Pelodiscus sinensis: one gene and its partners. The protein of the gene in region 1 interacts with the protein of each later gene in a pairwise test. Links are inferred from orthologs where the notes say so. Each region holds a gene or a part of one and is shown in the gene's direction. Other genes may lie near its edges.

The links. The genes of interacting proteins can lie anywhere in the genome.
Region 2: the proteins of SGTA (region 1) and SDC4 interact in binary tests that used the Homo sapiens proteins (3 or more experiments, as listed by UniProt). The two-hybrid records come from large-scale screens. The link is inferred for Pelodiscus sinensis from reciprocal best matches to the Homo sapiens genes SGTA and SDC4.
Region 3: the proteins of SGTA (region 1) and C1H3orf52 interact in binary tests that used the Homo sapiens proteins (3 or more experiments, as listed by UniProt). The two-hybrid records come from large-scale screens. The link is inferred for Pelodiscus sinensis from reciprocal best matches to the Homo sapiens genes SGTA and C3orf52.

The regions. Positions count from the first base shown.
Region 1 is NC_134729.1:17,548,294-17,558,626, forward strand, and holds the start of SGTA (small glutamine-rich tetratricopeptide repeat-containing protein alpha), read left to right. Parts: upstream 1-6,084; 5' UTR 6,085-6,241; intron 6,242-10,333. Other genes in the region: THOP1 (thimet oligopeptidase), read right to left, coding at 378-538, 850-952, 1,928-2,035, 2,674-2,822, 4,380-4,608. UniProt on the Homo sapiens protein: Co-chaperone that binds misfolded and hydrophobic patches-containing client proteins in the cytosol. Mediates their targeting to the endoplasmic reticulum but also regulates their sorting to the proteasome when targeting fails.
Region 2 is NC_134728.1:24,185,639-24,195,332, reverse strand, and holds the start of SDC4 (syndecan-4), read left to right. Parts: upstream 1-5,152; 5' UTR 5,153-5,223; coding exon 5,224-5,307; intron 5,308-8,279; exon of another isoform or gene 8,280-9,694. UniProt on the Homo sapiens protein: Cell surface proteoglycan which regulates exosome biogenesis in concert with SDCBP and PDCD6IP.
Region 3 is NC_134711.1:156,899,234-156,909,558, forward strand, and holds the start of C1H3orf52 (TPA-induced transmembrane protein), read left to right. Parts: upstream 1-5,783; 5' UTR 5,784-5,905; intron 5,906-5,914; exon of another isoform or gene 5,915-6,257; intron 6,258-6,563; 5' UTR 6,564-6,637; intron 6,638-6,767; 5' UTR 6,768-6,778; coding exon 6,779-6,907; intron 6,908-10,325. UniProt on the Homo sapiens protein: Has a role in LIPH-mediated synthesis of 2-acyl lysophosphatidic acid (LPA). LPA is a bioactive lipid mediator involved in different biological processes, and necessary to promote hair formation and growth.

The DNA.
Region 1 (10,333 bases):
TTCACTGCTCGCCCCGCCTGGGAGACGCCTCGCCGTCGTGGGGGCGCGTTCCCGGGGCGGACCACGTTCAAAGGATGCCCACAGGCCGTGTGCTGAGCCCCACGTAAACCCAAACCGCCCCACGGGCCGCAAACCAATGTACCGCGTGTTGAGTAGCCCTGCCCTACAGCTTAGGCCGGGGCATCCCCCCAGCCCCCGCCCATTCTAACCCTGGGCTTCTCTGCCGAGGCTGCTCAGTGGGCCCTGGTCTGGGCTGCTGTGACCTCGGCCTTGTCCCCGCCATCACAACGCTCCGACCCGATGCCCACGTCCGGGAGGCTGTTGCTCTCCAGCCTAGCGGGTCTGCACGCTCTGGCTCCAGACCGTCCCCTGCCTACCTCCTTGCACCTGGAGTTGAACACCTCCTCCATCTTCTGCCGCGTCTCTGGCACCCAGCATTTCTTCATGAGGGGGAAATAGTGCGGGTACTTCAAGGTGACCTTCAGCTTGCCGTCCTCCGTCTTCTCCAGGGAGTTCAGGAAGTCGTCAGGGAGCCCGCCTGGGAGCGGAGGAGACAGACGCTAGCTGCAGCCCCCCTACCCCCTCCCCGTGCCGTGCGCGCTGGGCAGCCCCGTCGGGAAGCAGGAGGATGCACATCGGCCTGCCGACTGGCGAGTGCACCGGCCAAACGGGGCTTCGATGGCAACTCAGCTGCTGCCCAGACCAGCAGCTGCCAGTTGCTTCCGCTGGCTCTGGCCCTTAGCCAGCGAGCTCAGAGAAGGGGCATCCCTGGAGACTTAGCACCAAGGGAAGTAAATCTGCCCGAAGGCTCCAGCAGGCCAGATTCCTCCGTCCCAGAACAGCCCTTACCCAGTTCCTCCTTGGAGAAGGGCAGGGAGGTGGTGTCTTCGTTCAGGTTCTTGTTGAAGTCGATGCACAGCAGGCTCAGCCTTTTCTTAATGGCTTTGATTTTCTTTAAAAAGACACACGCGGAATCAGACAAAACTAAATCAGACGGGAGGAAGATGAGCAGAGTTAGCTCTGCACCATCCCCTAGAGGCTGATCATGCCCCCCCCCAAACAGAGCTGGCCGTGCAGAGACACAGACACAACGGGGGGACAGGCGATTGCGGCTCACGCCTGGGGGGAGCCGGGGCTTTGGCGTGATGGCTGGGCTATTTGGGGACAGTTCAAGGAGCTGCGGGTGTCTAAGGCCTGTCCAGATCTCATTCCCTCTGCTTGTCTGTTTTAAACCTGGTGTCAAGCTCCCCTCTGATCTGCTAGCTCCTACCTGCTGCAATGAGGCCCATGTGAGTTACCCTACTCAACATGTGACACTCCAGCTAAATCCGCTCGCCGTTCCCCAGACGCTCTGCCCCGCTTTTGGGCTGGATTCATCCCTAGGCAGCTATGTCCTATTGTGACTCCCCACCAAGGATCGCACAGGGAATAAAGATTAGCTCCCCGGTATGACAGGGTCCCGGCTGAGAGTCTAAGAACATAAGAACGGCCGTACTGGGTCCGACCAAAGGTCCATCTAGCCCAGTAGCCTGTCTGCTGACAGTGGCCAGCACCAGGTGCCCCAGAGAGGGTGGACCGAAGACAATGATCAAGCGATTTGTCTCCTGCCATCCCTCTCCAGCCTCTGACAGACAGAGGCCAAGGACACCATTTTATCCCCTGGCTAATAGCCTTTTATGGACCTAACCTCCAGGAAATTATCTAGCTTCTCTTTAAACTCTATTATAGTCCTAGCCTTCACAGCCTCCTCTGGCAAGGAGTTCCACAGGTTGACTACACGCTGTGTGAAAAAGAACTTTCTTTTATTAGTTTTAAACCTGCTACCCGCTAGTTCTTCTATTTAGGGAACTAATAAATAACTTTTCTTTATTATTTAGCCGTCAGATCTCTCTGTACAGCTACTGAGGGTTACTAGTGATAGACTCACCTCCTGCGTCTCCTCCGGGAGGTGAAGGCCATTTCGTTTACCCAGTTTGATCAGCCTCTCTAGATACCTCTTGGCTTCAGGCCTCAGGGAAGCAGATTCCCTCTTCTCCTGTCAAACAGAAAGGGGAGTGTCGGGAGCCGACAGGCAGGACGTGGCGTTTGCTAATCTACAGCCGCCACACAACCACAGCACATTGTTTGCGTCGGTCCTATGGCTGGAGGGTGTCAATGTCTGCAGACCCCAAACTAGACGAAAACAGCCCCCTAGAAGAGTCAGATTCAAGAGACTGGTCCCCACTAGATTGTTTTCAACACGGGTCTCAAAGCCCATCCCAAATTGCTAGCCGATGTCGGGCCTCTATGGGATGTAGGGCAATGTCACCAGCCTCCTTTTACAGAGGGGGAAACTGAGGCACAAAGGGACAGGACTGGCTCACAGTCACACAGCTGGTCTGAGATTGGATCCCAGAAGGAAACTGAGGCACACAAGGACAGGATGTGCTCATGGTCACACAGCGAGCCAGAGGTGAGACTGCATCCCAGAAGCCCCGAATCCCCAGTCCCTTGCTCTAACTACTAGACAACATTGCCTTCGTGTTGTAATTTAGCTCTCAACTGAACAGGAAAGGTGGTAGGGAGAGGCACTCATGGAAATTACAGGGAGGCCCGCAGACACTCCCTGTTGGGATGCTGGACCTGCCATCTTCTCAGCACTGAGCCACGCCGGTTACCCCTCCCCAGCCGAACCTGGAGCCAGACGATCCTCTGGTACACGTCCTGCCTCATGCTCATCTCCACATCGAACTCCGAGAGCTTTTTGTCCGCCTCCGTGCTCGCCGTGCGGATATCTTTGTGAGGGGAGACGTGCTGGGGGAAGTCCAGCATGTTCCTCTGAACTGCAACGACAAAGCCAGGAGCTCAGACTATAGCTGGAGCCGCCAGGTTAGGGAAGGAAGTAGGCGGCAGTTTCACAACCCGGAGCCTGACATGCACCCAATCGGCGGGGGCAAGGCAAGCCACTCCCACCGACATGCCCCACACCCAACCTGAAACAACCCTCTCTAGCACTGAGCTCCATCATCCACAGGTCCTGGAGTCAGATCTGCCGGTCAACTCTACACTGCAAGTTCTTGCTGCTCCGGATAGGATCTCACAACCCTACAGCTCTATTTAGCAATACCATTGATAACACCTGTCCCTTACAAAATGGCCTGAGACCAATGTTCCCTCTATAGTTTTGTTGACAAAAGTCCACTTTTGTCGACAAAACCCTGTAGTCTAGACACACTCCTAGTGATCAGACTGAGGAAAAGATACTGTTGTAGGATTTATGCACCACAGAAAACAGGTGTTACCCTCTGGGCCAGCTTCCTTTACAAACATGGTGTTACTTTTTCAGAGCATTTTAGCTGGAGTCGTAAAGAGAAATAAATTGTTTGCACAGGAAAAGGAACCAGACACACACATGCCTGCTCCTCCCACACCCGATCATAGAAGTTACAGCTGGAAAAGCCCAGACTGGTCATCAGTGTGCAAGCTGGGGAGAGGTTCAAATCTTGCCCAGCTCATTAGCAGGTTGCCCACAGCTAGGTTTGTGTTTCTATGGGGGGTACACATTCGCACACGCCCCAGCGTGCATAAAAATGTATTCCGCACATGGCTGGAAAAAAATGCACACGTGGCCGGAAAAGATTAGAGGGAATATTGCTCGTCACCCAGTCATCTCTCTGCCAACACATGGCTGATCCCTACAGCACATCGCCTAGCCTTTTGTCCAGATACTGAAGCAATTGGCAACTTCAACGTCTTAAATGTTGTTTTTTAAAATCACAACTAGCGGGGCTTCCAGCTTGGAAACCATCCCATTGCCGAAGTCACCAATGGGCCAATTTTTCCCGACATTCTTTGTTTCCCCATCCACAGACTGGGGGTGGTGGGAAACAAAGGAGGCAGATGCTTTGGGATCTAGTGATTCAAAGGAGCCCTTTAAATTGCTGCCTGGAGCCCCTTAAATCACCGTTTGGAGTACTGTGCTCTAGGCAGCTCTCAGGGCTGCCTGGGAGGTCGGGGCACCACAGAATCCAGGCAGTGCTGGGGAAATGGGGGGGGGGGGAGGAGCACTGTGGTCCAGGCAGCATGGAGGGCTGGCCGCCCCCAGCTCTGCCCCCTCCGTGTGAGGTCCTGCCCCTCCGGGGGCTTCCTGCCAGCCATCTTGCCCAGAGGCACTGAGCACAGCAGTTGGATCCCTGCCCATCCAATTTCATCCTATTTCTCCAAGTTACACGCTTGTGTAGAAACCCTACATTTCCTCCAGGTAAGACAGGCTAATGGAGTTACACAAGGAAAAGCCAATGATTCAGTTGACCAGAGACGCACACGATCTAAAAACCACTCAGCGACTAACAAAAGCTAGAAGGGTTCCAGAAACAGCCAAATCCTGTTTGTCCACATACCTGTATACTCCACTTCCACATCAGCTAGAATTTTGAGAGTATTTTCATAGGAGACCTCCCCCTGCTCCTGGGAGCCCACGTGGTCGTATACTTGCTTGGTCTTCTCTAGGAGCTCCACGGTCATGTTTTCTATTTGCTCTGCTGTCAGGTCCCATCTTAGCCGATTCACTGGGAGTCTGTGGGACTGGCTGTCCACAACGTTACCTGAATAGGTTGGAAAGAGATCCATCTCTCAGATATTGCCCTAGAAGAGGGTGGAGAACTAACTCACAGGGACTCAAGAGACAGGTACGGCAAATACCGCAGAGCTCAGAAGAGAACCTGATCTGTTTGAACCAAAGAGTAAAAAGAACAGTTGCAACACTTTATGCCTCCTATGTATGGCAACTCCTGGGTAAAACTTGATTCCTTAATTAGCTTGCCCTAGATCAGGTTTGCTATTGCAGAAGGGCTGGCAGAGATGTGTGGCAGAACCTTGCAACACTGGTTTCGGGGTGGGGGAAGTAACACACAAAGAACCCAGAGAACTGGTGCAGGAGGAGGCAGATGTTGGGAAGGCAACACTCAGCATAGGCTTAATGAGAAGACAAGTGACTGCAGCAGACCCAGCAGCAGAGCTGCCACCCTCCCGGTGCTGGGAGTAACTCCATGCTGGTGAGCTTTCTCTCTGAGACTCATTCCGGCTTGGCAGAGCTTTGCAAACCTGGGGAGGAACCTCTTCTTGCTTGTAGGGGGATATTTAAGGGTCATGCACCCTGCCCCCACCTTCCTATCCCCATTCCCCCAGTCATGCATCCTGCCCCACCTCCCCAAGCACTGTCTCCAACACACGTAAGAGTTACCTGCTCTCCCCACCCCTCCCTCCTCCTCCATCCCACACTGCCCCCCAACTCCACATCGTCTTCCCATGCCCCCGCCCTACTCCCCACTCTAGACTTTGCCCCCTTCCTAGATATCCCACCTCCCTATCCACTCACTGCCCCATCACCCCGCCCCCACTGCCACCCCCTAAATATACCCTCCCCCAGTACCCCTTCAGCCCTCCATTGCCATCCCCTAAATATCCCCTCCCCCCATCACCCCACCCCCACCCCCAAAATATCCCCTCCCCCCCACTGCCACCCCCAAAATATCCCCTCCCCCCATCACCCCACCCCCACCCCCAAAATATCCCCTCCCCCCCACTGCCACCCCCAAAATATCCCCTCCCCCCATCACCCCACCCCCACTGCCACCCCAAATATCCCCTCCCCCCATCACCCCACCCCCACCCCCAAAATATCCCCTCCCCCCATCACCCCACCCCCACTGCCACCCCCAAATATCCCCTCCCCGCCCCACACGCGCCAGCCGGGCGGTACCTGTGGGGGGCGCCATGGGGGGGCGGGAGGAGGCGCCGCAGCCACTGACGCTCAGCCCCGAGCACGCGGGCCGGGGGGGGCGGCGGGGAGGAGAGAAGGAGGCAGCGCGAAGGATTCTGGGAGGGTGGAGGACTGCGCGGGGCCAGCCGGGGGCGGGGGGAGCTGCCTTAGCGCCCCCTCCCGCGCTACGTCTCTATGGTCAATCGCGGGGAAGAGGGGCCCTGCCTGAGCGATCCCACAATGCATTGGTTCACCCGCCCCCATGGCGTATTTCCGCTTCCGTCTGGCGGGGGCGGAAGGGGAGGCCTGTTGCGCATGCTCGCTGGCTGGCATGGGCGGACCCGCTGCTGGGCGCGTGAGTCGCTGCGAGCGGCGGAAGTGTGGGGATGGAGGGCGGCGCCGCCGAAGCCTTGGCGCCTGCGCAGTAAGGGGGAGGGGCTAGCGCGCGTGCGCAGCGTGCGCCTGGCGGTGAAGGGGCTGAACGCAGCTCGGAGGCGCCTGGTGAGTAGCCGGGGCCCGCGGGGGGGCTCAGTCTCCGCCCCCCCCTTGTCTCTGGGGCGCTTGGCTGGGCCCTGGCCCGGGGGGCTGGGGGCCTGGCTGGGGGGAGGGGGGTTGGGGGCTGGCTGGGGGGAGGGGGGTTTGGGGGCTGGCGGGGGGTTGGGGGCTGGCTGGGGGGAGGGGGGTTTGGGGGCTGGCGGGGGGTTGGGGGCTGGCTGGGGGGGCGGGATTTGGGGGTTGGGGGCTGGCTGGGGGGGCTGGCTGGGGGCTGGGGGGGTTGGGGGCGTTGGGGGCTGGCTGGGGGGAGCGGGGTTTGGGGGCTGGCGGGGGGTTGGGGGCTGGCTGGGGGGGCGGGGTTTGGGGGCTGGGGGGGGTTGGGGGCTGGCTGGGGGGCGGGGTTTGGGGGCTGGGGGGGTTGGGGGCGGGGTTTGGGGGCTGGCTGGGGGGCGGGGTTTGGGGGCTGGCTGGGGGGCGGGGTTTGGGGGCTGGCTGGGGTTGGGGGCTGGCTGGGGGGCGGGGTTTGGGGGCTGGGGGGGGTTGGGGGCTGGCTGGGGGGCGGGGTTTGGGGGCTGGGGGGGGTTGGGGGCTGGCTGGGGGGCGGGGTTTGGGGGCTGGGGGGGCGGGGTTTGGGGGCTGGGGGGCAAGCAGGGGCTATGCTGATTGTTGAAACTGGCTTGGGGTGACTGTTTCCAATAAAAGCTCTTTCAGGAAGGTGGCTGCTGGCCTGGACTTTGCTTTATTTGGGGTTTAAATAGCAGCTGGCAGCTGGGTCTGTTAACTTGAAAGCAAAAGTGACGGTGGAAGGTCTGATGGGTTTTTCGTCTCCTGTCAAAAATGATGAGTGAGCTTTTCAGCTGGGGTGGGGAATCTCGTGCCTGGGGGCCGGAGGCAGCCTCCAGCTTGTTTGGATCCAACCCTCAGGGCTCCCCCCAACATTGGGGAACTCATGCTGGCACTGCAGCTCCCCCGCCATTGCCCTACAGGACTGGAGCACACAAAATCTGCTAGCCAGGCCCCCCTAAACTCTAGTGTGGGAGAGGAATGTGGGGAATGTCTTTCTCCTCAATCAATTTTTGTTTTTTGTTTTTTTCTTTGCTTTTCACTTGTGTGTGGCCCTCAACTGATTTTTCTGTGCATCAGCAGCCTCTGACCCGAAACAGGTTCCCCACACCTGTTTTAGCCATGTCTAAGCTAAGAGTGCCTTACTGGTGTATGGATACCGGTATACTATACCAGCAATGTGCTGCCAGTGTGATGCAGTTTATACTGGTCTAGCTTATTCCACTCACACTCGGACAAAACCGGTAAGCATGCAGTTACTTCAAGTATCTGCCTTAAGGGCTTCTTCCAGGACACTGGTTAGTCAAGGATCACACCTCTGTCTAACATGGCTATGCTGGCAGAAGCCTATAGTGTAGAGAGGGTCTCTGGGAAAAAAAGTATATCCTGCGGGAGTTTCTGGGCACTGGTGATAGCATTATATGTTCTCATAGTTCAGTAAAAGCAGGGGGGGCTATTCTGTATGAAAAAGCAGAAGTAGGATTTGAAACTTTCCTGAAGTTTAGTGTAAGGATGCAAAATCCTTTTTAATTCGTTAACCAGTTAAATGTTAAGCTTAACTGTTAACTGATTAAATGGGGGTGGGCGGGCTGGAGCGGCCCATGGGTAGGGGCTGTGTCAGGCTGGTTGCTTCCACCCCATGCTGGCCCCCGTGGGCTGGGAGCCGGCAGCCAGCCCTTCACCTGTGACAGGCCCTGGCCTGCTCCCAGGCAACAGATAACTGTTACCCAGAAAGCTTTGTCCATTAAGGTGGGCTTAAATTTGGGTTCCCCACTCCTGAGATCATGTAGTACTTATTGTTGCCATGCAGTGAAGTCTGAGAACCTCTGCTTTAGTTAACAAAGCTGATTTATTTAATGTCTCTGGATGTGCTATCATTTAATTCCATTCAGTGCGAGGCTGAGCAGACTTCCTCTGTGCTGAGGAGCAAGTAGACTTGCCAATGGGTATAAGTATCTTACTGATTGATTAAGTTATTCAATTATAGGTGGATTTCTACTTAAAATAGGTAAGGGTTAACGTTCATTGCCGGGGGGAGGGAAAGCACATGGGGAAACCTGTCCTGTTGCTGCACATGCTTTGTCTGTCTTTAGTGGATAGGGGACTTTGGTTGCTGGTAGGGATGTGAACAGGTAACTGGTGAACCAGTTCCCAGGGAGCAGCCCATGGGAGAAGGGCTGCTCCAGCCCCACCTGGCCCCAACGGGGGTGGGGTGGCAGGGACTGGGAGCAGGAGCCCTGCAGGCTGGAGGCTGCTTTAGCTGGGCTAGAGCGATTTCCCCCACCCAGGATCCTGCTTAGTTGGTTAAATGTTACGTTAACCGTTCCTGGTGTTAGTTGTCATTGACGGGTGTGACCCCAAGTCATGAGTTTGACATGAAACTTTCACCTATTTTCTTCCCACTTTGGAGATCAACTTGTCCCACTCTGCTCTGCTTGGTGCTTAGCAGGGTTACTTTTGCAGGTGACTGTTGTTTTTTTCTGGCATCTTATTTAAATTTAGACTCTGCAAAGTTAAATTGAATCTTTCTCTGCTCCCACGCTAACTGCCTGATCATCTGTGCAGAACTTCTTCTAACGCTGAACTAAGTCTTTTATTGTTAACCGGGTCGAGAAGTATAAGAGCCAGCGATATCCAGGGCATGGTGGGAAGTGTGATAGTGGACTGGCACATGACTCCCAGTGCGGTCTTCCTGAATTATTTCCAGCTCTGATATTAATGTTGGGCAAAGGATTCTGCCTCTTGCGCGCAGTTTCCCATCTCTGAAATGGTCGTATGTGTACCGAGCAGGGGTCGGGCTAGATTGTCAAGTGTCTTCTGCCTAGGCCACAGGTGGGCAATAATTTTTGATAGGGGAGGGGCACGCCATGATTTTGGTAAGTGGTCAAGGGCCGCACTTTTCTATGGAGTAAGTCTGGGGTGGAGGTTGGGTGCAGAAGGGAGCTCAGAGTAGGGATGTAAGCAACTAATCGACAAGCTTATGGTTATTGGATAGTTGATTAGTGATGTGACTAGTTGCTTCCCCCACTTGCTGCCTCTATCAGAGAGAGGCAGCAACTGAGGGGAGCAGGAGTCGGTGTTGTGGGGAGCCAGCTTAAAAGCTGGTTTCCCTCCCAGCACCATCTCCATGAGGGACAGGGGAGGTAGAGGCACAGCGGGGAACGGCATGAGTTGGGACTGAAGAAGCACCTGGAGTGTGGGGCACTTCCCCATGTTCCCTGCGGGGCTTCCTTTTGAAATGTACAAGAGCCTCACTAGGGCTCTAGTACATTTCAAAAGCTGAGGCTCTTCAGGGAACCAGCAGGAGTCCTCCGCTGGCCCCACACTCCCTGTGGGGCTTTCATTTTTGAACAGTAGCAAGAGTCCGGCAGTTGCTGCAGTTCAAAGACGGAGGCGCCCTTATAGACTAATCATATAGCTGATGGAAATCCTCTCCACTATTTGATTAATCTAAATGTAACATCCCTAGTAGGGGATTTGGGTGCAGGACAGGATGTGGGGTCTGAGAAGGAGTTTGGAGGAAGGAGGGTGTTGTGACCTGGCACAGGGGATTGGGATGCAGGATCTGGGAGAGGGTGTAGGTGCAGGAGAGAATTCTGGCCTGGGGGAGGGGGCAGAGCTGGCCAAGCGCCAGAGTTCACTGTCGAGGGCCGGTTAACCAGTAGGTCTCGGGCTTACCAGTATGCTTACTGGTGAACTGTTTAACATCTCTATCTTCACTGTTGTATTCAAGGTGCGTACATCACTGTAGTATCTGAGTGCTCACAGTCATTAATGTTCACCCTCATAGCACCCCTGTGAGGCAGGGCCATGCTAGTGTCCTCATTTCACAGGTGGGAAACTGAGGCAGGGAGAAGTGACTTGCCCAGACTCTCACATGGACTCTGGCAGAACTGGGTATTGAAGGCTTGAATTATAGGGCAGAGCCCTAACCAGTGGACCACCCTTCCCCTCCGTATAGATGGCCGTATTTTACTTAGCAGAACCTTTCTGTTTGCCCTGTTGCTCATTAAAGGGAACCATTTTTTTCCTGCC
Region 2 (9,694 bases), on another chromosome or scaffold:
GACGCGATTATGCAAATGAAGCACGGGAAATTCAAATCCGCACTTCATTTGCAATTTCATTCGTCTGCATTTGCATTCCTCTCTCGAAAGAGGAATGCAATGTAGACATACCCTGTGTCAGCTGCATAGCCTAGGAGCAGCATAACAGATCCAAACTTATTTCCTTTCTTAGTCAGAGGCATGTTGCATGTTCAAATGATTTACATTCATTCATTAAACCAACCTTTCCTCTTCCATGAGGCTCGCTCCATTTCAGTGGCTTCATTACCCAGCGAGAGTGCCTGAGTTATCCTCCTTCCACATTTGGAGAAAATGTCAGTGAACAGATGGCAAAATGTGCAGTATTTACACACCTAATTTTCCAAGTTTTTAAGGAAGGATAAGGACATATGTGAGCTTCAAAAACAGGAACTTTTGGGGTAAATTAGCAATACATTTTAAATACTATTTCTTAATCTTAGCCCATTAGGGGAGAAAGCCGTTTTCAGGGAATGTGAGTTGGGGGATGAGTCCCATAGAAATACTACCAGTTTCTGATGGGAGACAGTTATTTTCAACCTTTTAATACAACAGCTCTTCCCTCCTGGATCAAAATCCTTTATTTCTCGAAACAGTGGTCAGTTTTATGGCTATACCCTTGGGACACAAAGGGTACGTCTAGACTACATGCCTCTGTCGCCAGAGGCATGTAGATTAGGCTACCAGACATAGGAAAATGAAGCGGCGATTTAAATAATCGCCGCTTCATTTAAATTTACATGGCTGCCGCGCTGAGCCGACAAACAGCTGATCAGCTGTTTGTCGGCTCAGCGCGATAGTCTGGACGCGCGGGTGTCGACATCAAAGGTATTTGTCGACCACCCAGGTATACCTCATCCCAGGAGGCTTACCTGGGTGGTCGACAAATACCTTTGATGTCGACACCCGTGCGTCCAGACTATCGCGCTGAGCCGACAAACAGCTGATCAGCTGTTTGTCGGCTCAGCGCGGCAGCCATGTAAATTTAAATGAAGCGGCGATTATTTAAATCACCGCTTCATTTTCCTATGTCTGGTAGCCTAATCTACATGCCTCTGGCGACAGAGGCATGTAGTCTAGACGTACCCAAAGAGCACCAGATGGTGAGAAGTGGCAATGTGCCCATGACATGTAAGATGTCCTGAGAATTTGTTTCAGTGGAGATTACCCAGAGTCAACTGCACTTCTTAGGGTTATTTCTCTATCATTGGTGTGGACGAAGAATTACAAGTGAATTAACTTTTCCAGATATTTTTTACCCACAATTATGATTCAATTTTAAGATTTAATGAACAGTGCATTATTAAGTAATGGGACTGGAACAACAGAGGATGAGCCAAGCTGACTTTTGTGTCATTTCTTTGAAAGTTGTAACTTTTTTTTGTACAAAGGCCGAAATATACGGTACCTAAAAGTGTCATAATTCACTAGTCTGATCAAATCACAACATTGAGATGTGACTTTTTATGCCAGTGGTAGTGGATTTCAGAAGAGAAAATTTCAGTTACTTATTTTCTCTGAGCCCATTTTATTCTATTGCTCTCAGTGAGTCTCAGCTAAACAAGATTTTTTCCTGGATTGTTCTATTGAGAGTAAAATGTAAACATTTTGAAAGAGGACATTTGAAGGGCAAATGAACCAAGCAATATTGTATTATGAATTCACAGCACAGTGTTAAGATTTTTAGTATTGTATTTCCATGCAGTTTCTTTTTGTGACAATAGAAAGTAAACTTACATGTCAAAAAGAGAAAATATAATCTACAAAATGTGCTCAGAAGTCTGTCATTACTGGATTATGCAAATTTACTCTGAAGGCTGGAAAACACATTAAAGGCAAGTTTCATTTCCCATTATATTTTTGAGTAAGCCTGGGCCAAAGATTTTATCAGTTTGGTTACAAAGAGCTGAGGTTCTTATTTAAAGGGACCTTGTCAGGTTAAAAAGCATAAACAAATTCCCTTACTTGGGTTATTAATACTTTGAATTGATTAAAACTGAACTATTTAGTCTTTCTTTTTACCATCTGCAATGTCTGTTTGTACTTGCCTCTGCTTAAGATACAGAAAACTAATCAAGCAGTTTTGCTTTTAGCATCTCATTGAGTGATGTAATGTTCCTGTTTCCAAATACAGCAGTAGCAGTTTTAAATTCAAACTGAAAACTATTTTCATTTTTTCATCAGATGTAACAAACATCTGTATTCATGTCAGATTCTGTAAAAGTTAAAAAAAACCCTACATTTTGGACCTATGTTACTTATGCATATTCTTTTATGGATTCCACGTTTTTATGGTAATACTTGTTGCACCTTAAAAGCAAAAACTACCTAAAACCCAAACTGCAATGAGCTGCATGCAAGCAAAGTCCTGCACTTGCATGAGATTCATAGTGGGATCAAGCTCAAATTGCTACCTGTGCCAGATATTATTAGCATTGAAAGAATGTTATTTTAAAATATCTGACCTGAAGGCTGAAAATATTCCTTAAAATTCCACTGCACTAATCAATAGCAGATATACATTTTAAATGCCTTACTGTGAAGCTTCCAGAAAAAAAGTTAAATACCTGTTTGCTTCTAACATACATAAGTAACAGATTATTTCCATGTTTATCAAAATATTGTAGGCACTGTAATATATAATTTCAGTGTTAAAAAGTCGGTTGTAGTTGCAGTTGTAGTTCAGGGACAAAATAGATTTTCCTGGAAATTATTTTGCATAAAGATTGTCTCTCGTAAGATTCCTTGGAAACATTACCAACCTTCACAGCTTAGTCTGAAATGGTGGACAGAACATGATTTTTATTTTCTAGTCAGATATTGTCCTGAATCTGTAATTAAATCCTTGTGGCAGTTAGACACTTATGCTGGAGTGGTGTCTTATTGAAATCAATAGGGCTCTTCATTCTCATAGGGGTCTAAGTGCATTAATCAGATTACAGGATCCCGGCTTCATTCTTATAATAAAACATGTGCCCTGCTTGTTTCAGTAGAATGACCAAGAGAACATTTCTGGTACCCTTAAAATGCAACCTTATTTTTTTAACATTTCTTCCCCCCCCCCCCCCCCCCAGAAAATAAAGTCACTAACTTTGTTATTTCATGGTGCACGTTTTTTATATTTCTTTTGACCCCTTTTGCAATAACCCATTATTTGTTAACTGCCAACAGTAGCATAAGTATTGTGTCAGATCCAGAACTATAGCCAGGCTTTATCTAGAAGGATTTATAATCCACAGGAGAAACCCAGAGAAGATAGGTAGAGAAGGCAATTTCGAAGGAGTGGATTACAGTAGGAATTTTTTAAAAATTCCATACCTACATATATATATATATAAAATCATGTTTAGAATGGTATTTTTGTACTAGCCAATTAGCCCGTCGTAAGACGGGATTTTCAGGTCTCTCCCCCACTTCCTTGGTCTTCTCTCCTGAGCCTCTGGTCTCTTGCTCCATCTCTCTCTCTCTCTCCTTCTCCTCCTCCTACAGCCTCCTGCCTCTCTCTCTCTCTTCTCCTCCCCCTCTTGCCTCTCATTCTCTTTGTCTTCTCCTCCCCCTTCTGCCTCTCACTCAGAGGACCGTGGAACCCAAATGGCCGCTTACGCCACTTGCTCTCACGCGGTGGCCTGGCTGAGCGGCACAGAAGTCAGCTGAGTGCCACTGTGGGAGGCAAAGGACGTGACTCAGGCAACAGTGCCGCTCAGAGGGAACAGCCAGGGAGGAAACAGCGCCACCACGAGGGAACAGCCAGCATTTCAGCGTTACAGAGTCACAGACACTGGGCTAATATATATATATATACATATATACTAGCCAATTAGCCCGTCATAAAATGGGATTTTCAGGTCTCTCCTCCACGTTGGTCTTCTCACCTGAGCCTCTGATATCTCTCTCTCTCTCTGTGTGTGTGGGAGGGGCGGGGGGGGGTGTCCCCTCCTCCTACTGCCTCCCCCCCAAGCTTTCCTCCACCTCCTGCCTCTCTCTTTCTCTTCTCCTACCCATGCAGCACAGGCCGCCCAGAGGGAACAGCCAGCATTTCAGCATTACAGACTCAGACACTGGGCTACTATATATATGCGATGATGCTGGTTTCTCTTACATACCTTGATTTTTAAGAGAGACAGTGGAAGGAATGTTAAAAATTTGACTTAACATTTCCCTCCTTTCTCATGTGTCTCTGAAGTTCTTAATAGTGTAAGAAGGGGAGGGTGTATGGGAAGGTGGTAGAGGGTCAGGCTGAGGGCAGAAGGACAAGGGTGGGTATGCCAAGGACATTCAGGAAGCAGGATGTAAGGAGATGGCAGGGCCTTTAAGGGTGAATACAAAGTGTTAAAAGTTGCACATAGGGCCATTTTGTGAAGGAGATGCAAGGGGGCTATGGAGGGATTGGTCAATGATGGGGAGGTGCAATACAGGGCACTAGGGAAAGAGACAGTTGGGTGGATGCAGGACAAAGGTGGTGTCAGCCCGGCGTTTGGGGGACGGGAGGTTGTGACAGACCTCTGGAGGTTGGGGAAGGCTGAACAGGGCGGTGTCGCGCCGCGGGAGTCGCGGAGGGGCTGTTGTTTGCGGGGCAAGGCCGTGCCGGACCCCAGGAGGGCGAGGGGGATCAGGGCAGTGTCCGGCCCTAGAAGGTTGATGGGGAGGACAGGGCAGAGAGTCCGACCCTGGAGGGGAGCGGCTGTTGGAGGGGGCCAGAATGGTGTCAGGCCCCGAGAGACTGGGGCGGCTGGGGGACAGGGCGGTGTCAGGCCCCGGGAAGTTGGGGAGGGGGCAGGGCGGTGTCGGGCCCCGGAGGGCGGATGGGGGCAGGGCGGTGTCGGGCCTCGGGAAGGGGGCAGGGCGGTGTCAGGCCCCGGAGGGCGGCTGGGGGACAGGGCGGTGTCAGGCCCCGGAGGGCGGCTGGGGGACAGGGCGGTGTCAGGCCCCGGAGGGCGGCTGGGGGACAGGGCGGTGTCGGGCCCCGGGAAGTTGGGGAGGGGGCTGGGGAGCGGCGGGGAGGAGCCGGGCCAGGGCGGGGTTCTCGTAGCCGGGAGCGCCCCTGGCGCGCTTGGGAGAGCGGCACGTCCCGGGCATTTCCCATCGCACTCGGGGCTCCGCGCTCCGCCTCTGGGGCGGGGCCGGGCCGCCTATAAGAGACGCGGCCCAGCGGCGGGTTCTCCAGTTCCAGTCGCCTGGTTGTTCGCTCCTGGTCCCCCGCGCATCATGCAGCCGCTGTCAGCGAGGCGCCCCGGGGCGCTCGGCGCCGCCGCTCTGCTTCTCCTGCTGGCCGCCGCCTCCGCCGAGTCGGTGAGTACCCGGGCTCCGAGCGGGGCCGCTTGTCCTCTCCCAGGAGCCTCTTCCCGCCTGTGCTTGTGGGGGCCCCCTCGCCCGTCCCGGGGGTGGCAGCGACAGCCCCGGCGCCCGCCCTCCTGCGGCCGCCCCGGGCTCCAGCATCAGCACGTGGCGCCACTAGCGCCCTGCCCTCATAGCTGGAGCGTGAGTCAGGCTGCCTCGACCGCGGCTTGCGGCAATCGCCTCGCCGCTGGGGCTTTCCTTCGCCCTGTGCTAATCTCGGGCTGCCCAGGGGAAGCCCAGATCAGAAGCTGCTGCTTCTTCCCTAGAGGCTCCCCCGTCCATAGCCCAGCTGGGGCAAGAGCAGCACTGCTCCGATTCCATCCTGGTCTCTTGATCTCGAGCGAGGTTGAATTCCTCTTCAGGGGGAGTCATGGATGAACCCCTGGCTTTGCTCATCAAGAAGGAAACGGGCTTTTCTGAATAATTGAAAGGCCTTTCTTTCCGGATGACTTTGCGCTTGCTCCTGAAGCAACTTATAGCCATTTTCTAGGGAGGGGGCATGCTACTTGGTAGCAGGGCTTTGCCGTAAATATGGTCACCATGTTCCCCACCTCTGAACTTTGAGTAGGAGGAAGGAACAGGCTTATCTAAGTCTGTCTCTAGTTCTGTCGGCTTGCGTATTGAAAGGAGTGGGGATGAGGGCGGAAAGTAGCTGGCTTCCATCAGAAAAAATGCTGGTGATACGTTTGTGTGGCTTGATGGATTCTGAACCACTCACTGTTCGTTATGTATTGCCATATAAGTGAGGAACATTTTCTTGTCTTGCCATTCAAATGGCTCTGTTTGCCTTTGCAGTGTTATGCTTCCAAATACCATTTGCCTTGTCTACCTGACCTTTATGCCCCAGAGTCAACTCCCCACTTGCCTGTCTCTACACCACATTCTTGTTTTCATTTCATCCTTATTGCATTCTCTTCCTCTGCTGGATCAGAGATGCCTTTCCTCTCCTTTGCACCAGCACAGGATCCTCCATCTCCACTTTTAACTAATCTACCACAATACCTGCTATTTCTCTTGTGTTCCTTTATCTCTGCCTTCTCCCCTTCTGATTCTGCCTCTGTGACTACTGTGTCCTTGGATGGGCCCTGCTCTTACCAGAGATGCTCAGAAGTGGGCTACCAGGATTGTTGCAGATTAGGCTTGAAATACAATGGTAGCGTTTGGGGAAGGGATGGCAGGATTTCTATAGTAAGGCTGTAGATTAGGATTAAGAAGCAAAGATGTATGCAAGAGCAAAAGCCTTGGGGAGGATGGGATTTTTTAAAACCATCACTCGAGTATCCTATTTTGAACTTGTAAGGTGCTCAGATACCTTTTACAACACTAATCACTGTAACCAGAAATTTTACATGCTTATCTAAATAAATGTAGTTCTATTGTGACCCCTCATTTTATGGGCATTAGATCTTTTCTAACTTCCAGGGAGGTGTTCTGGGGGAGGGAAGATGATCTGCCATTTGTAATGCAGAATGAGCCTGGACCCTGTGCACCAGTTTTATTGTGTGTGTGTATATATATATATATATATATATATATATATATAACCTCTGGACAGAGGGGTTTCAAGGCTCTTGACTTCTATGTCTACCCTAAAATAAAAAAGCTTCCCCTCTGACGCTTGCTTTTATTTTGGTTAATAGGGACTGCAATAGGACTGGGGAGGTTGCAAGAGACTTGAGTATCCCAAAACTAGATTTAATCATCCCTACTGTTTCACATGAAGCCTGAGATTCTGTAGGCAGGTCACTACTTAGTACTCTTGTTCAAGTTTCTGCCCTGAAACTTTGCTGTTGCTGTCTAATCCAAGATGTTGTTGGATTAGCAAGAAAACTCTCAGACCAGAATACATGAAGTGTCTACTCTTAACATTTGGCATCAGCCCTCTTTATGAACAGCAAGCCTGAGTAAATTCATCAGGTAGAGATCCTTGTGAGAACCTGATGGCAGCCACAACTACTAAAGCCATTAAGCATAGCACAGGACACAAGCTTCTTGGGTCAGTACAGGTTTTGAATGCTTTCCGACTGCATTTGATAAGAAATTAACATTCCCTATAGCGTGCTTGGGGAATATAATGGGCTGTAGGTTTGATATGCAGTGTCCTAAAGCATTCAAACAAAAAACAGGACTGTGTAGCACTTTAAAGACACACGGTCCTGTTTTTTGTTTCAGCTGCACCAGACTAACACGGCTACATTTCTACCACTAAAGAGTTCAGATGCCTACAAAGAAAACACTTCTGGATAGCTGTATCTCTTAGGGTACGTCTACACAGAAACATTCTTTTGAAATAACTTAGTCCTCATCTACACAGCAGGCCGTTATTTCGAAATAGTGTCAAAATACTGTCAGGCTGGAGGACTCCAACTCCTGTAACACTCATTGTATGATTAGTAATGAAAGTGGTTGGGGGGGGGGAAAGCACTCTATTTTGAAATGAGTGCTATTTTGAAATACAGGCAGTCCCCGAGTTACGTGGATCCGACTTATGTCGGATCCGCAGTTATGAACAGGGCTTTTCTCACCCCAGAGGACGGGAGCGGCAGGACGCCCAGATGTGCCGCGGTCCCGCTGCCCGCGTCCTCCGGGGCAAGAAAAGCTGCTCCATGTCTCCCTGGTCTGCTGGGGGGATAGCCCCCCCCCCCCCCCCCCCCCCAGCAGACCAGGGAGATGGGGAGCAAAGACGCGGAGGACCCGGGCGGGACCGTGGTGTGTCTTGGTCCCACCGCCCGCGTCTCCCTGGTCTGCTGGGGGGGGGGGGGGGGCAGCTAGTGTGCCCCCCTCCCCCCCAGAAGACCAGGCTGTTCTCCGGACGCCTGTGGTAGAGCAGCTGGGGCGCTGCCGGTTGGTCCCGCAGCGCCGCTCTGGGTGCTACTGGACCAACCCGGCAGCACCCCAGCTGCTCTGCCCCAGGTGTCCCCAAGTCAGCCGTTGCTGAAACTGACCAAGGGCTGACTACAGGAAGCCGGAGGCAGAGTTGCTCTGCCCCGGGCTTCCTGGAATCAGCCACTGATCAGTTCCTCGGGCTTCCTGGAATCAGCCACTGATCAGTTCCTCGGGCTTCCTGGAATCAGCCACTGATCAGTTTCAACAGGCTGAATCTGGACGCCAGTTCCGACTTACATACAGATTCAATTTAAGAACAAACCTATAGTCCCTATCTTGTATGTAACCTGGGGACTGCCTGTAAACTATGCAATTGATGTAGCTGAATTTGCATAGTTTATTTTGAGTTAAGCCCTGCTGTGTGGTAGCACCCTAACTGCTTATTCTGAGTTTGCAGAACACTCGGTACTATGTATTGCTCTGTGCTTAATTAGTTTGGCTGTATGCTAGAGTTGTAGCTGAACTTACAGCATCAAGTTTGCTTTAGGAGAAGTGCTGGTAATGGGCATGTCCCTGGTGAGGAGAGGGCTCTGCAGTAATGCAGCATCTAGATTAGTGTGGCAGGAGTTGGTCTCCTTTTGTTGTGTTTGGTGCAACATGCTGGATTACACAGCATGTCGCTTGTAATCATTTTTATATCCAAAATCGGGGGAGGTTGCAAACACATTGTTAGAACTCCACAGAACATGGATTCTTTCTTGTGTTTGTGTAAGGGGCAGGGACTTGAGGGCTATGCTATCCTGTCCGTGGATGTTCCTCCCACAGAGCCCTGCAATGGAAGAACCAGAAATGTTTTGGAGGAAGCTTTGCTTCTTTTAGGGGGTATGTGATGTTGCAACCAGGTTTTCTCTGAGGCAGCCTTACACATGTAAGAGGACTGAAAATATTCCTGAAAGGTCCATGGCATAATTCTTATGCTCTGGTTATCTTAAGGAAAAGACTGGAGCATGTTAACATGATGTAATTTTTAATGTGAGGACATTTCTGTGAGCCCTGTTGAATTTTAAGTATGGAAGATAGATATCTGAGGAGCTGTGCTTCTCTCTTTTAGGCTGTGTCTAGATTACAAAGGTCTGTCTGAAAAAGATACACAAATTGTGAACCGCAATTTGCATATATTTTTCTGCTTTTCTTCTGAAAGAGGCTTTTTTGATAATTGTCCCCTCTACATTGGGCCAAATGTTGGGGGGGGGGGGGAGGGGGGAGGAAGCCTCTTTCAGAACATCCCTCCTGCCTCATAGAACTAAGTTTACAGGGATGCTGAAAAATGCGTCTGCTTTTCCAAAAAAAATTTCAGAAAAGCAGACGTGCTCCTTGGACACGGCAGAGCTTTTCTGGGATACCTATCCTGGAAAAAATCTGCAATCTAGATGTACCCATAGAGGTTGGACTGCCACATCATAGCACCATTTCATTTACTAGTCCGCACTTGTGACATCCAGAAGGTTTCTTT
Region 3 (10,325 bases), on another chromosome or scaffold:
CCATCCTGTCCCAACGGGGCTCAGCAGAGCGGCGCAGCACCAGCCCCACTCTGCTGGGCTGCAGCCATGGAGCAAGCGGCAGCAAGCTGCCGTTTGGGGTCCGGCTGCGGCCAGTGGCTGCACCCGCCTCCTCACCAGGTCTGCTTCCCCCCCCCCTCCTCCCGTCCAGCCCCACGGCCCCTGATTCCCCCCCCCAGCTCTGCTTCCCGTCCCCTCTTCCTGCCGGCCAGCCACATGGCCTCCTGGACACCCCCCCACCTCCCTCCCGCCAGTGCTGCTTCCCTTCCTCTGGGACCCCCCATCCTCCCCTCCAGCCCCACAGCCCCTGATCCCCACAGCTCTGCTTCCCGCCCCCCTTCCGGCCAGCTCCGCCCCCTTCCCCTCCTTTTGTGGTGCCCCATCACCTTCCCCTCCCTCTGTGGCACACTGCCAGGCCCAGCTGAGCGGCGGCCACTTGCCACCCTGGGCTCAGCTGAGCGGCGCTCCCGCCAGGGGAGCACTCGGCGGCAAGCATCCGTTTAGAGTCCGCGCTGCACCCCTCCCCCCTTGCCAGGACTGCTTCCTGCCCCCTCTTCCCGTCCAGCTCCACAGCCCCCGATCCTCCCCCCAGCGTTGCTTCCCACCCCCTCTACCTGCCAGCCAGCCCCACGGCTCCCTGGACACCCCCCACCAGCGCTGCTTCCCTTCCCCCTTCCTCTGGGCCCCTCCCATCCTCCGCTCCAGCCCCACAGCACCTGATCCCCCCCCATCTCTGCTTCCCACCCTCTTCTGGCCAGCCCCCCTCCTTCCCCTCCCTCCGTGGCACCCTGCCCCCCCTTCCCCTCCCTCCATGGCATGCTGTGGTGCTCCTGCCGGGCCCAGATGAGCGGTGCTCAGCTGGGCCCCGGCAGGGAGCAAGTGGCGGCTGGAGGGGAAAATGGGGGGGGGGGAGGGGCCGGAGGAAGGGAGGAGGGAAGCAGCGCTGGGGGGGGGGAGTGTCCGGGGGGGCCATGGGGCTGGCCGAACTGCCACGGAAGGAGGGAAGGGGGGCGGGGCGCTGACGTATACAGCCAGGGGGCGTGGCCATATACGTCAGCGTTATAGACTCACAGACAATGGGTACTATATATACGATGTGGATGGATTATATTAACATTTATTATAAGCATTTTCTATTTCCACTCGTTTTAAATTTTCACATGGGAATGTCTGACAATAATCGCGTAATGACCATAGATATTGAAATTCAAACACTTAAAGCTTTCTAATAGTTTTAAAGCAGATTGTCAACATCATATCACACAAAGAAAATATCCTTAAATCAAACTGTAATTCTCAAGCAGCATTTTTCTTTCTTGCCTATCTGTAAGTTTTATTATTATTGGGGAAAATATTTTTTGTCAGTTTATGGAACATGTATTCAGAGTAACATTTACCCTCATTCACTAATAAAAATCAAATACTCCCTAACCTAGTTCTATTAATTTGCATTCTTCAGTTGTCTTGGTTGTAATGAAATGTTACAACATGAACTGGGTGTATAAACAAATGTACAGCCACTGTCCAGAAATAGAAAATATTATAATTTGAGGGAGAAATTATCTGTTGTTCATGTGTTATATAATTACAGTGCGATATGTTTGTTATAATTACTGAGCTGTGTCCTTTGCTTTAGGGTGATTCTGGAGGTCCATTGGCCTGTGTAGGAAAGGGAAATCGATGGTATCTTGCTGGTATTGTCAGCTGGGGTGAAGGATGTGCTCGACGTAACCGCCCTGGTGTATATACAAAGGTGACAGAGCTTTATGATTGGATTCGTCAGTACACAAACTGATGTGCTTAGAAGAAAACAGGAGACATCATTTTTACTGGAGTAATCCATGAAATACATGTTTTATAATGAGATAAGGAAACTAGATGTTTGTGCTGAAGTTTATGTTTATATATATATTTTTTAAGACATAAAAATTGGTAATTAACATCTCTGCATGTTGCAGAAGCAGTTTGAATGGAAAGTAACTGTTTCTCCATGGACTCATCTTCATTTTCTTCGTCACCAAAAATGGACAAACAGGGTTGGATGAAATAATGATGGATTGGAACCTTGAGCCAAAGTCCAACCAAAGCTTGTTGGATACTTGGATAATTCCTCTCCAGCCCTAGCATACATAAATATGTATATACATGCACACTTTATGCAGTGTGTTTGGGTTTCAAATGGGATCAAGGGTGGTCTTTTCATATCTGGTCAAAATACATACACTACAAGTCAGGGTGGTATGCAAAAGTGGGTTAAAAGTTTTTGGTCACAGTGCTGCTATGGAGAACTGCTTCCTCCTGTATTGTGTTTTATAGGAGCCCTCAGGTTGCTCTATCTTAATACAGATTTGATAGTCAGGAGAGGCCAAAAACATAGCTCAGGTTTGTGATGTAGGCACTCGCATTCTGGTAGCCAAGTGCCCTTTCTTTGTTAAGCTTACTAGCAGAGAGGGTGTTTGGCATTCAAGATCAAAGATAACACTAAGCTGCCATGGCCCTTCCATTTTCATGATCCTCTCTGGGCCGGTAAAGACAAACATAAGATCAAATTCCATCAGTAGTGTAGCACAAGTCAGTCACATTGAACCTGAAGTTCAGACCCTAATCATTCCAGGACTGAAATACCATTGTTGGTGTCTTCAGAGGGATAGTATTTTAGAACAGGAAAAAATCCTGAGTGTATTAAGAAGAGCTCGGTTCAGTTAAAGGAAGATGGTGAGAGAATTTTTTTTCTTTCTGGTCCGAACGAAAACCTACATGCTCAAGCTCCCTTGCCACTATCAAATGTTACACTATATAACCTCAGTATAGTCTCATGAGCTGACAGGGGGGCTGACAGTCTTCCGAGGCCCCTTGGCGTGGTGATGGCAGTGGCCCAGCTCCATGCTTCCAGGCAGGGCAGGGCCTCGGGCAGAAGTGGGGTGCTGGGGCAGCCAGCCCTCAGCACCCCCTGGATTGTGCCAACCCTCCTACCAGCTCTTAGTGCCGCCTGGAGCATGTTTTCTGACACCGCAGCAGCGGTTTAAAGGACTTGGGCTCTGGCTGCTGCCTCAGAAGTGTGAGCTGGGAGCCCTGGGCACTTTTGAATTGCTGGGCTCTGAGGCAGTTAACTGCTCTGTCCCCTTCCCCCGTCGGCGGGCTTGTTGCTGACTACTATGGTATTAGCCTTATTCAAATTAACTCTTGTGGATATGAGACACTAATAAGAGGCTTATCATGAATTATCTCTTACACAGAGAGAGACAGGAGCTTTACTGCATGATATTTGAAACCCCAAAGATTAGAGTACATTTTAATAAGAATCTGTACTTTTGGATAGTATATGTTGCAGTCAAAACAGCTTGAAGTACACCTGGATCTACAGTAGTTGTTACTCTGTAATTATTCTATCTGCTCAGGTTGATGGTACATAAAACCTCGGAGGCCCTCGCAGTGTATCGGGTATACACTGGGAGGCAAGGCTGAAAGTGATTCAATACACTGGGAGGCTAGCCCTGATTTATCCTAATAACCCCTCAGATACTTGGAGAAAATGCAAGGGGAATTTTACTAGCTTAGAGGAAAGGTTGCAAATGCTCTTGGTTCAGTGGCTTCAACAGTGGGAAAAAATGTGGTTCTTATTTGGGCTTACTAAATGGCTTTTCAGGCAAAGTGTTTAGGGTACGTTCTCCAGTGCAGTTCCTTATTAAATGCTAATAGGACTGTCTAGTTGTCCAGGCCAGGATCAGGGAGTAGTGTGACTTATTAGAACCCCTTTACGCTGGTTCCCTGCCCAGTCTCTGCCGCATCCAGAGCCTGGCTGCAACATCTGGTCATCACACCCTGCTCCATATATGGTTTCCCAGATCCAGCTGTGGCCTGCTCTGCAGAGGGAAGCTGCCAGGCAATGGTGTTCAGGCAGCTTCCCTGCTGCTTCTTCCCTACTATGCGGTTGTCACTTCCCCAAGTACCAGATTATTTGCTGCTTCATTGTCTCTCATAGTTGCTGCCACTTCTCCCTATTGGCCAGTGGGAAGGGATGAATCTCAATGTCCATCCCAGAGAGTCCTAGATTGGGGAGGGGAGAGTTGATAGAAATGGTCGTTTCCTGCTCTGCAGATTGATCACAAGGGTTTTTCCTCCTCTCAGTAGATAGACCCAGACTGAGCCTTCCATAGTTGTCTAGAGGATTGAAGCAAATGTATCATTAAAATTAATGGAACGTATGTCAATATCTTGTTGTTTTAGGTTTTCAGACCTGAGGTAACATGATATGGTAGTTGACGACTTGGATTCCAGTCCCTGCCCTGCTTAAAAACACACGCATGGTTGGGTGATATGAACATGCCCCTCACAGTGCAGCCAGCTCTTGTGATTTTTTTTTTTTTTTTGGTCATGCGTGATGGGATTTTGGCTGGGATGGAGCCAGTCTTACAGATGCAAGTAGCTCAAGCCCTCTAGTATATTTTGAGCCTTCTGAGTGACTACTCTTCCCCAGGAGGTGGGCAAAGGGAGTGGGCAGCCAACCAGAGCTTCTGAAGGCAGTGCGCTGTTTCCTCCTCCTTCATCCCCTCTGTGGCAACCCAAAGCCATTCTGATAAGAGGTCATGGGGAGGAGGGAGCAGAAAGGCAAGTTCAAGGCTATTCCACTGCTTTTCTTCCCTTCCTTCTGCAGCACCTGGCATTGGGGCATGTAAAATGTGAACGGGGTGGGGAGGCTGAAGCTTTCCCTCCAACCTGAAAGTGGCAAGGGGTACCCCTTTGAAGCCACCCCACCCTTGGGTGAGGGTGATGAAGAACCCACAGAGGAACAGAGCAATGGCTGGGTTGAACTTAAGAGCAAAGTCTGCCAGGGATACAACTGGTATCAACTGAGGGAACAGATGTGATTCAGAGGCTGGGGGCAGAATGAATTACTGAGCAGGGCTTGGGCTGATACGAGGATAAGAGTTCCTGCAGCAGCAGTCACAATCAGCTTACGTAACACATTTAGGAAAGTGGGTAAGGTAATTGTGAAACTCCCTGTCTCGTTTTTTCTCATGCTCTTGTTCTTGAAAGTGTGTGTGGGGGCAGGGGAGTAGTCAAAGACTGAAACCATTATGCAATCTTTTTTAAAATTCCTCATATTTTGACTCCGTCTAATTATTTGTAATCTCTCCTGAGATTGGCAATATTACCTTCATTTATTTTTAACTCAGTCTGACTCATTGTACAGTATGTCGGGGGAAGGCATTCTGTAAATTACATGTAGGTACAGGAATGAATTTTATTATTGTCCGCATGTTACATCATTCTTGTATTTAAGACTCATTTTTAAATATAATTATCTCAGTAAAGTGTGTGATGCTAATTCCAATTTTTATTGAATGTAAAATCACTATCCTAACCTCTAAATATATTAAAATTCTAAAAGTATTTGACTAATGTATTTTTTTCTTGAATTTTCATTCACTTTTTCCTTTTTAATAAAATGGGATGACTATTTACTAGTTTGACAGGACTGCTGAAATGAAGTAATGCGCTCAGAACTGCAGTCACAGCCTTTAAGCTGTAGATGAGTTCAAATCAATGGATTTAAATAAAGTGAAATTGAGAGGTACTTAACCTTCCAAACCTTGAGTTTGTTTTTACTCCATATATTGATAAGACTGTGAATATTTTCACCACAGAAGGACATTGCATTCCTACCGTTTCAGTTTAGATATGACTCTTGGCCACAAAGTTCAGATCCAGTTCTCAAAATTACATACGAGGGTGTGGCTTCAACACCAGGGTTTTAGTTCAGCCCATTACATATAGAGTGTGTGTGAATGTACAGTATGTGTGTGAGAGGGAGAAGCAACCATCAAGTACAGATCTGGGTGCAGACTTTAGAAGCTAGTGCATTGGCAAACTCTGGCCTTGAAAGGTAATTGAAACTGGAATGCTATTTTCATTAGGCTTACACAAGGTTAATGATTGCAAATCTTAACAACAGAAAGTGTACTGTTGACTTTTCCTACTTTTCTAGGAACTGGTGGATTAAGAGCAAAAGGAGCTCAGATCCCATCAGGAATATTTTGAGACCTTTCCAGGAGATGCTGGGTTAGGTGATAGCTACATGAAACAAAGCCATGACCCTGGGTTCTAGAGTTTAAGGATACTTCAGACCTGAACTTGAATGCTCAGACTTACTTTGTCTACTAAACTTTTTGGTTTCTTTTCTTTGGAAGAAGTGCTGCATAAATATAAGCTTGCTTTGGTTCCTTTGTATTTTGCAGGTATGGTGTTACATACGTGTCCTGTAATTCTAGTTAGACCAGTGACAAGGATATTGCTTGTTTGCCTTGACTGAAAACACTGTTTTCTCTTCTGAGATGAAGATAATTACTTCCTCTGCTGACTTTGTTCCTTCTGCAACCACCATGTTGCCTCAGGTTCACTTAGTTGCTTGTGTTGGTGAAGGGCTGGTGTAGTAACGTAACCAAACTGGAAAATCTAGTATGACACAGCCTGAGAATAAACACTTAGGTTTCAAAAGTCTTAAGCAAATCAGTACTTCTCTCTCATTCAATTTTTTTTTTCAGAGGATACACTCCCAGTCCGCTCCCAGCTCCATGGGATTTCCCTTGTTTACTCAAGTTGCTGAGACAGTTTGCTTGTAAGTTATGCTGACCCTGGTTGCTGACATCTCAAACCTTGTCCCTGGCCTGTCATCAACATTATAACAGCAGAAACAAGAAAGAAGGGAGAAGTCTCGATTTTTGCCTTAAAGTCAAAATTTCTTTCAGAAGTGGAAGTTATGAATGGTGGTGTTCCTGACCATGAATATCAGGTTATTGAATTACAGGAGGAGAGAGGACTTGAGGAGGAAAATGAAGCAGACAATAATAAGATACCTCTTAACCCTGAAGCATCTGTAGCAAATAAGGTAAGACTCACATTCATTCACTTTGTGTTCATTAGCATGTTACATAAACATTACACAGTAACTGAAATAACTGAGGAGCATTTTGGTGGAGTAAGTTGCTTTTACTGTAAAATTTATTTAGATTTTTTTGTTGACTTAAAGTTAAATGTCAAAAACACAAAGATAAAAATCAGATTTATTTCCCTCTGCTGTTCATGACAGCTGATTGAAATAGGGTATTTAAAATCTAACTAATTTACCATTTTAATTTGTTTGTTCGTTAGCATTTGTAATTTTTGTTAGTTTTGCTTTCACTTTATCATGCTGATTGCAATGTATGAATTGCAGTCACTAAAAAGGGATGTTGGAATCCAAATTAAAAGGTTTTTCATTTATAAAAGAATTTAAAATGCCAGGAAAACACTACTGCTAATATTAGGATTTGTTTCCTTTTTAAAAACGTTGTCCTTTTCCACAATCTAAACTTTGGACCAAAACTACTTAGTGCTTCTTCTTCTCTACAAGTGTGTAGTATGAGCAAAAGAAGTAATAGCGGATATAAATTCTCTATCCTAGGGTATTAACATCAGGTGACAATATCCCTCTCCTGGGATTGTGAGTTTCTTTAACTTGGCTAAAATGAGAATAGAGCTGTTAATAATAATGCCCATGCTCGTAATTTGCAATGTGCTAATGATGATTAATGTGTGTGTTGAACACGTTACACATACATACCGTAAGATTACTCCTAGTCAAAGAGCTTAGTCTAAACACATGAAAAGAAGTACCTTCTCCATTCTACTGATGTAGAATTCAGACACAGTAAGAAAGGCCACAAAGGAAGCTTCTGGTGGAGCTTTCTAAATTGAATCCAGCATCCTAAAACCCAGTCTAGGGATTTACCCACCTGACTCCTGTGGTTAATTTTTGTGTAGATATGTACATCTCTGTCTGCACTGGCGAATCAGGCATTTAGCTATCAAAATGATCAAAAGTGTGATTGAAAATTGTTTCGAACACAGTTACTCTCCCTTTCTTTTACTCCAGGCTCCTACTGCACAGAAATCAACACTACTACACAGATCAAAGTGTCGGTAAAATTATTCATTGTTTTCAGTAGCTACATTTCCTCCTTCATCATTGACATAGGGTTTTCTTACCTAAGTAAAGAGGGTTCAGTGGTAGGGAGGAATCAGAGATTTGAGTGCGAATTTTACATCAGATCTGGTGACACTTCTTTTAACAGAGACAGTATTCTGTAATGGTCTGAGCACAAGGCTGCAAACCTCAGTTGAAATCCAAGCTTTCATGTCTGTGCCCTTGGGCAAGTATCTGCCTCAGTTTCTTTTGCCCATTAAATGGGTATTGTGCCTCCTGACTTCATAAGAGTGTTGTGAGAAATCATTTAATACACTAATATCAAGCATTAAATTATAAGCTAGACACTCCCTGATTCTTCTTTTAATCATAAAATTCCTATTAATTTCACTGTAAATCTCGTGTTTCAGTAGCACAACTCAGGCAGCTCTTGTTCCCCATCTCTGAGTTGGGGGAACCAGCATGGCTGGCAGGTATTGTAAGTAGGGGAAAGCATTGCCTTCTCAAACTGCCTCACCAAAAATAGTACATCCTATGTGTGCACCTTACTCACTATTCTCCTTTGCTCACTTCCTGCAACCTGTCCCAAAAAGTGAAAACCTATCTGGACTTTAAAAAAAAAAACTTTCAGACATCAACACCTTAACATTCGTGATGCTCTAGTTAACAAAAGTGATTTCTACCTCATCTCCTAACAACCCCCTCAAAATTTCTTTCTACTATTTACTGTGAGTGTTTGCATATAAGGGGTATGTGGACTGAAAATTAAAAACTTCATAGGTATGAATGTTTTTGTAAACTTCTCTATAAATACGTCTGGTTTAGAGAGATAGCAAACTGTGTAGCTTGAGGAATCTATACACTTGCTAAACAAAATGATTTGGTTCAAGAAACTTTGAAGCTATGGTGGATAATCAAGTATAATATTTAGTTTTGATTCAAGAGTAGGAAGTTTATAAGTGTTTCAGGCTGCCAGTCTGCATGCAGAAATTCCACATTATATACCTAATAAAACTCCATACATAAATTTAATCTCCTTGAATTGTATATCATTAGGAAGATGTTACCCAAGCACTATGATACATATACGATTTTCCTTGGAATTCTGTGACATGGATTGGCAGTGCTACAAAAACAATGTCTTGCATAATTTATTTCACTCAGATGACCCATAGCGCTGAGAGGTCGAGTTAAAACAAGAGATGTAAATACCTCTTCTCTTACCTACATTTAACCTCATTACACACAACTCAGGCAGCTCTTGTTCCCCATCTCTGAGTTGGGGGAACCAGCGTGGCTGACAGGTATCGTAGGTAGGGGAAAGCATTGCCTTCCCAAACTGCCTCACCTAGCCCTGCCCATGCTCCACCGGAGTCCTCCAAACCTACACCCCAAGCCTGCTGTTGTGATGCCAGAGACTGGGGCAGACAAGTTAGGGTTCTGCTGCTTGTCCTCCCAGCATTGGGACTACTTTGGCTGCGGCTGCCTTTCTGGTCAGGGTTCCGTGCATCAGGGCTCTAGCCCCTGTGCCATGACTGCTGTCTGTCTCTCCAGACCTTCAGAGTTTGGGCAGGCTGAGGCCGCACTGCTTCCTGAATCTCTGGGACTCTGAAGCTGGGGGGAGGCTGGGGCCTACACTGATATGCAACTGAATAAGGAAAAGGAATCACACATGATTTTCATAAATAATATATTTTTCCAGTTCTTCGCACTACCAACAGAGGACCAAACTGCACACCTTGAAAGCTCCATCAATCTCCATTACGCAGGTTATAAGGTCTGCAAGATCTAACCTCCCTGTTGACTTCTGTGAACCCATCATAAGACTCTCAGGTCTTATGCTTTTTTGCACCAGTTAAAATGGCTCAAAAAACCTGGCTCTTGTCTAGATGTAGATTTGCATCAAGTTAATTAAACTGGGTTAGTGAAACTGGTGAAAATCCCATGTGTGAAGAGACTCTGATTTAAGTGGTGGCTTATTTTGGTTTTGCTTAAACCCACTCCTAATTGATTTAAACATAGTGAAAGTAAGAGTGGTTGGTTGAAATTTCAATAAGTGAGTTCACGCATCTTTTTGCAGCAGTTTTGCTGAATCCGTTTGAAGTTACAGTTTAAACTCAAGAGGTGCAACTGCCTAGAGTCAAATGTTTGCAAATTCTATATTTCCAAGGGAAAACTTATTTGATAATCAACCAAATTGTATGCAGCCACTTGGTGTCTCATTGATTTAACATACTATTGATACAGTCTTCATTTATCAGAGCAGATGAGTATCAAAAGCAGGCAAGGTTTTACTAGTAGCTCTATCACTTTGTGACCATAAGGTAAGTCAGTTTACCGA